Bombyx mori: one gene and its partner. The protein of the gene in region 2 purifies or fractionates together with the protein of the main gene of each other region. This does not show direct contact. Links are inferred from orthologs where the notes say so. Each region holds a gene or a part of one and is shown on either strand. Other genes may lie near its edges.

Region 1 (3,828 bases), on a different chromosome or scaffold from region 2:
CTCAGGTTTTTTTTAAGTACAATTTTAATGTAAAGAATTATTATCAAGGAATGACAATGTAAAATTAGATAATGTTAAAAAAGAGAGATGCCGGGACACGAGGCACGGGAAGCTGTGGACTATCTTACAGACCGGGACACTGAAAAGGTTGAGGACGGTTGCGGACTTACAGTATAACGTTAACTTACCGACATAGGTGGGCACGTAGTGTCTGCGGTCCAACGAGGAGGGAGGGGGGAGCCCCCTCGCCGGCTCGTACTCCACGGGGGGAGGGGCGGGGGGGCGCGGCGCCGAGCGGGGCAGGGACAGCGAGCCCTCCACGCTGTCGGACGAGACTGGGGGAAGGGGGGAGTAGTGGAGTGATTTTTTAAACTTTTAGACTAATTAAGCAATTGTAGACTTTTTTAAATATTGAAACATGTAATTAATTAAAATCTCGAAACTACACTTTGGTGTTGATCTATTTTATAATTTGCTACAAAACTTTTTGTTTGTCAATGATAAAGAGCTGACATGAGAGCCACTTACTCTTACTGGCGGACGCGTGTATGCCCTTATCCATGTGCTTAAGTTCCATCTGGTCGTGGTGGATCCACAGGTCCGGGGGCTTGATGCCGGCCGACGCAGAAGACTTTTGATACGTACTACAAGTTGAGGAAAATATTATGTATCATTCGTAACAATACGTAATATCCTGGCTTCGAAGCCCTGGCGTCGCGTCCTAGACGACGTACGTGTGCTCACCGTGTCTGCGGGTGCTCAGTGTGTCTTAAAAATAATCACTCTGTATGTACCATGCCATTTTTAATTGCCCAAAATAATGTAACAGTTGATGACGTGTACTTGGGGTCCAGTTTGTAGGTTGAAGCCTCTGGGTCTGCGAAGGGACCGCTGAGTTATGTATCGTTTGAGATAATCCTTTAATGTCCTTTTCCGAGCGAGGTTTATCTGGCATCACCCGGCTGTATGGGCGACGGCGAGCGCTTACCTTGGAGGGCTACGTGTTCTTCTGTTGTCGATAAGTTATGGACAATGTACTCTTATAATAAGAATCTACTAGGATACAACGATAAAAACCTCTGGAGGCTTTTAAAGAGGCGTTTCCAGTTTCACCAGGACAAGTGGGCGAGCAAAGGCTCAGCCAGGAGGGGTGGGATTTGAACAGCTGCCCGAGCGCCTCCGACCTCCTCCTAACCTAACCTAACAACTCAAGAGCAGCTGCTTCGCGAATGAACCTAATATCGGGTCGGAATCGCGACTCGCTGAGAAGATCTGGCGAGAAACTCAGCGGGCTGATTCATGGATTAGGTTGCACGTCGACCTCTTTACGGAGTTCGACAAGTACGGTTACCGGGGTCCCTAAGCCTGCTCGTAGTGTTAGAGTTGAAGGCGTCGAACGCAAAGGTTATTGGATCTGTTGGATCCGTAAGGACGTGGAACGGTTTAGTGCGTGCGTCACCTGGTGTCCGGGGACAGCGGCGGCTGCGAGCGGCGACAGCACAGCGACAGCGCCAGCGCGGCGGCGAGGGCCAGCACCGCGCACGCGCCGCCCGCGCTCGCCCACAGCCACGCCGACGTGGCGCTCGCCAGCCCTCCGCCCTCCCCCGTCTCTGCACAACGCGCTACGTCAACACGACCCGCCCCGCCCTCCTTACACATCGGGGACGCCGCGCCGGTACCACTAACGATTGACTAAATGAGTTCGCACTAAAACTACCAGCCTATTCCTGCCGTTAAGCAGTAATGTGTTTCGATTTGAAGGGTAGAGCAGCCGTTGTAACTATACTGAGACCTTAGAACTTATATCTCAAAGTGGGTAGCGCATTTACGTTGTAGATATCTATGGGTTCCAGTAACCATCTAACACCAGGTGGGCTGTGAGCTCGTCCACCCATCTAAGTAATAAATAAATAAACTTCTATCTGTTATTCAATGGTTATTACTATTCCCCGATATGGTCGCGTTAATCGATCTCCTATCTCGTTCTCTCGCACCTAGTCGCACTGGACTACCCGGTCCGCAGGAGTAGTCCGGTTGCACGCGGACACGAAGGGGCCGGGGTCGATGTTATTTTATGACCAATAAAAGTAATATAAAATATGTAGTTAGTTGTCGTACCCATAGCGGTGGTGTAGGTGATGGTCTGCGAGAAGGGCCCCAGTCCCTTGCTGTTCCTGGCCTGCAGCTTGATGCTGTACGTGGTGCGGGGCCGCAGCCGGTCCAGGCGCACGCGGGCGCGGTCCCCCGTGACCCCCACCGCGATCCACTCCGCCCCCCCGCCCGACACCGCACTCTGGGCCGCGTACATTATTACGTAACCTATGTACAAAAACACCCAAAATCATGAGAAGACTAGAAATCTGATATTGTTCATTGATTTTATGTTTTATTGTTTTTATTTATTCAAATACACCGGTGGTGGGACGTATTGTAAGCCCGCACGAGTGAGGCCAAACATACTACCCATTTATGGCCTAGAGAAAGTACAAGGCGCTGTTTTTTGTAAGCAGAAATAGACAGGATGATTGTAGCTACCCCTTATTTTTTATTGGACCGGGAGCCGAACCTCCAACGAGATCCCCATGCCTAGGAAACGCACGATGTTGGGAGCAAACCGCGAGCCCAAGTGCAGGGGAGTCATTTAGTGGGTAGGGTCCTAAATTCCACCCCATGGTAGCTACCCTGCGAGCTCGCGAGACTCCGCACTTTTACTAGTACAGTTAAGATGTGTTTATGCTGTAATTGGGTTGCAGGGTGAAGGGAACAGTTACCGATAACGAAAAAAGAGAGTACTTCTGTTGATATTATGCCGGTCACAATGACGCGGGGCTTGTGTTGTAGACAGGGCATAAATGAGGATTTAATTTGTAGACGCACGAGGTCAACATCCCAGGAGCACGAAGTTTCAAACTGATAAATGCACATACAAACATAAATATACAATGTTTATAGTTTGTGGCGGTAGCTATAATAGAGCATAAAATATTTGACACGGCGTTGACATTGATTTATATTTCATAAAGTCACACCCTGTACGCGGTTTAGTTACGACGCGAGACAGCAGTCTGTGTGACGGCGACCACTGTACCGAGGTTCGAATCTCGTATAAGACTAGACCATGAATGAACATCTAAATCAGCGGTCTGAGAACTTTTTTAATTATTACCCCAAAATATTGTTGTGTACGTTGATATTATCCCATGGCAAAGAACAAAAAAAAACCAAATCGCTTCTTTTTAGTATCTTTCATAGCCCCCCCCCCCCTGATAATCTTGAAAAGAAAACAATAACAAAAAAATTATTTATACATAATTTATTCAATTTATCAATGTAATACCTAGTAATATAATACATAACGGTAATAATAGTAATATATTATGCAATATACAGTTGAGGAAAAAAGATCACAGAAAATATAAGTAAATGATAATTACTTGTTATTTTATAATTCATATGATACTTGTCTTGTATTATTAGACGAAAAAACTACTTTAAATTTTATACATAGCCCCCATAAAAAACCTTTTTTTAATTTTAATGACTTTTTTTCGGTTTTTCCCCCACCCCCCCCCCCCCAAAAGTCATTTTTCCCCATGGGGTAATTTACAACGGTTCCTCGACCGCTGATTTAAATATAAAAATGTAATGTTATACAAAAATCACCAACAAACTGGTTTAATCGAGAACAGTGACCTGTGATGATCCCGTTAGGTTTGGCGGGGGGGCTCCAGCTGACGTCGGCGGCGCGCGCGGGGGGGCTGGCGGGGGCGGCGCGGGGGTCGCGGGGCGGGGAGCCGGGCGGCGCCTCCAGCGTCGTGTTGCTCACCA
Region 2 (3,828 bases):
TATTACTTTAATACGAAAGTGACGTTATTTGTTTATTTTTATACTTTCATGACGTAACAACTTAAGTGAACATCATGAAATTTTGCATACGCGTTGTCAGGGGTGGGTACACGAAAGGACAAAAGTGCTATTCTCGAGTAAGGCCGCGGGTAAAATCTAGTCCAATATCAATCTTGCAACAAGGCTGCACGCGGTTAGTTCAGTAGCACGACAAAAGTAAAGAGTGAGAAGAATAGATGTACAGTTTCCGGAAGTATTATTGTCTTTGGAAGTAGGTACAAAAATTAATGCATGCTATTTTCAAGTCACGTAATTATTTATATTGAGGGAAAAATATAAAAAGGATTATAACTTCACTATTTCACCAAATCTAAACTAAACTATCCCAAATCAGGAAAACTATAAAATGAACAGATCAAGTAAAATACTATTCGTCAACTATGAAATTTGTAGAAAAATGCACAATGTTTGCCAGTTTCGCAGCGTCGACGCAGTCCACTAACATTAGCATTGTCGGAACTCAAGTTGTTCTTGCTAAGCAGCTGACAAAATCACAAAAAAAATGTCACGTAGAGGGCTAGACTCAGAGGATGCGGGGCGCAGTCGAGTGGGTTGGTACCGTGCGTTTATCGCGCAGTAGTCGATTCGTTAGCCAGTTGCTCGAGCTGGCACACGGGGACTAGACCACCCTCCCTACACTTAGTCAGTTTGATAGCATTAGGGTTATCAGTGCAGACACTTGGTGGTGAGTCATACTGCTACTTGTTTTTTATTTTCTTATTATTTTTCTTTGCGAGTAGGCCGAGTAGATTCACTTCAACTGCTGTGAGAACACGTGGGAAGTCTAAGTCGCCCAGGTTGTCACAAATAGCGTCACCAGTATCCATAACAATTACAACGTGACAACGACAGAGCGGATGAGAGTGATCCTTTACTCTCGGTTCCTCAATGTTCGCGTATAACAACGCAGCTCCGTGTTGCAATATACCTACGCTTCCTCATTTTGTATCTAACTTAAAATTTTGAATTATAATCTACAGTTAAGTGAATTATTATTGTGCCAGCAGTTTGAGACAATGTCAAGAAGCGGACCTAACTTAAATATCAGTAATGTTTATATGTATTTATTAGTGTCAAATGATATATTCAAAATTTCCAGATATTGTCATTTTAAGTAAGGTTATTTTTGTTTTATCTAATCTGTTTTTTATTCTGTTGGCGTCAGACAGACAGTGGACTTTTCTTTTGGCATACAAAGATACTGTCTCCTGCGTAGCATTGAGAGCCTAGTCTTTTTTTTAAGGATGGAGGGATTACAGCCGGGTCGAAGTTGTTTCAGTTTCACAGACAGGATGGAGTCATGTACGACCTTAATGATGTATAGAACCCTTTTAGACTCATTACTCACATCACAATCAAACATCTCAATATTGATTTAGTACATATGTACGAATATACAGGGAGCATACGTGACTGTTCGATGAAAAAATTAAAAAACTAAGCGTCAAAATACTGCGCCGATGCCAGCTAGCAGGCTGTTAATGTTGGCGATGCTACAAATTTCATTGTTGACGACCCGTGGACGGCTCGGCGGCGCTCGTTCCTTCCTACTGCACGCCGGACGGAGCATGCAGACTAGGTCGCGGCGCGGTGCCGACACAGACTCGAGTGTGAGGAGCTACATCTTACACTAAGCAGGGATAGGGCTAGAGCAGCAGGTGCCGTGGAATACTTACAGAGCGCGGGCTCCGAGCGCTAGGCCGCTGCACCGAGACACGGCAAACAGAAAACAGTATCTTAGAGCAGTGTGTCGCCGGCGCGCGGCCTCAGAGCCTACTCGTCTTATATTCTATCTTACTTCCGAAGATTGAGTTATGGTACAATACGTACAGACATTGAGGACATTTGACTTTAGTTTTTTGTACATAAAAATATTATAACAAAAAGCATAATTGACGGTGTGTACACTTTTAACAAACATGAGTACTCTTCTTACAAATTTGAAGAACATTTCCATGAAGGTCTCTGATCCCTATCTCGAGCTGCGTGCGGTTTGTTGTATTTTTGTTCTTTTTGTCAATTTCATTTTAGAAATTATATAATTTTTAAAATAAATATAAAATTTAAAAAACGTATGTAAGTTAAACCGCATCTAATATTATTTATACATTGCCGTCAAGAAGATTCTGAATGAACTGACCATTATGCACAATACCTGCGTCTTTTAGTGTGAGGACCATTATTCTGTGAACTAGACTGGCAGTCGTACAAAGTGCCAAAATATTCAATCTTCAAAAATAAAAAAAAGACTTGAGCTATGTGCGTAAGTACCGCACTACAAAGTCGCCCTCGGTCGCGTGGGTCACGTGGGTCACGTGGGTCGCGTGGGTCGCGTCGGTATACTTGTAGTGCGTCATTTAGACGAATAACGTTATAGCGTCAAGTAAGCCGGGTATGAGTTTTAACATGGAACCTAAAAACAAACAAAGCGATGGCCGCTTCATTCCGTAATGAATATCCTCCGTGTACAGCGGAGGCGTACTATTGCACTATATCGGTTGTTGGAGTGCGTGACGGCGCGTGACGCTGCGTGAGACACTGACCGTTGAGGTCGGCGAGCGCGTCGGCGGGCGCGTCGTCGGGCGCGTGCTCGTCGGCGGCGTACTGCGACTCGCGGAAGGAGCTGCACGAGGACAGCAGGCTGCAACACGCGGTCGATGAGTATGTCGATGAGTGGCGGGGGTCGTGTTCAGTTACTTGTGGTCGGGTGCGCTACCTAGTGCGTTTGGGAGGGGTGGGGGCTTGCTTGCCGCGGCGGTTGGTCGGGCGCCGCATCTGCACCGCTCGAGGGTCGGCGCTCGTCTTCTTCAGCGACAGCAGCGGGGTGCCGGCGGCCTGCGCGCCGCTGCCTTCTTGGAGTTGTTTCTCTACTTCTGAAACACACCGTTGACATCTATAGCAGCCGCTCGCTGTTAGTACGAGTACATGTTGCGTAACGAGGCGCTCACCGTCTGTGATCGAGTTGTCCTGGAACATGTGCTCGAGCGCGTGGTGTATCTCGCGGAAGGAGGGCCGCTCGGAGGGGCTCCACTGCCAGCAGCCGCGCATGAGCTCGTAGACGGGCGCCGGGCAGCCCGGGGGACACTCCATGCGGTACCCCTGCGCCACCACATGCTTCCTTCGTTAACTGTTCTAACGCGCAGCTCCAAGAGTAAGCAATTACGTAAATGACAAAAAAAAAACCATCAAATGCGCAACAATGGTTTCTGTTTATCGATATCGGCTTATGTAACGATACGTGAAGTTGCGCGCTCGGCCGCCGCCCCGCCTCCAGCACTCGACGTGCAACTTCTCTCATTTCCATAAATTAATATTTTGTTTAATTTCTTGTAATTTGTACATATCTCTTAAATGTCTCCAATATTAAACTTGCAAAAAGCGAAACGATTTCACTCCCGCATTGATTAAAAGAAAATATAATGACAAATTGAAACTGTAATATTTTTCAATCAGTCACCATAAAATGTATAATAAATATTTGTGTAAACAAATAAATAAACCGATGTGTTGCGAGTCGACGAGTACAGGGCGTTCACTTAACAATTACCTACAAGTCTGAAAATGTCGCTTAAGAAATTCATTTATAACGTTACAATCGAATGAACTGTTTTATTCAACAAGCACCTACTGTATTATTGTGTGAATTTTGTACCATACAAAGAACATTGGGTTTTTTTTTTAATTACACCGGAACCTGTCTGTGGGATCGGCCACGTCTACACAGCGACGCACGAGGTCTTCCCGAACGAGGGAGCTTACCAGACTCGT

What was found.
Region 1: the proteins of tyrosine-protein kinase Abl (region 2) and neogenin purify together in Drosophila melanogaster (affinity purification with western blotting; 3 studies listed by BioGRID). This does not show direct contact. The link is inferred for Bombyx mori from reciprocal best matches to the Drosophila melanogaster genes Abl and fra.

Annotation. Positions count from the first base shown.
Region 1 is NC_085108.1:149,477-153,304, forward strand, and holds part of neogenin, read right to left. Parts: coding exon 3,694-3,828; intron 2,320-3,693; coding exon 2,119-2,319; intron 1,611-2,118; coding exon 1,460-1,610; intron 645-1,459; coding exon 529-644; intron 336-528; coding exon 189-335; intron 1-188.
Region 2 is NC_085107.1:85,839-89,666, forward strand, and holds part of tyrosine-protein kinase Abl, read right to left. Parts: intron 3,160-3,828; coding exon 3,009-3,159; intron 2,934-3,008; coding exon 2,777-2,933; intron 2,702-2,776; coding exon 2,604-2,701; intron 1-2,603. UniProt on the Drosophila melanogaster protein: Arm and Abl proteins function cooperatively at adherens junctions in both the CNS and epidermis; critical for embryonic epithelial morphogenesis regulating cell shape changes and cell migration.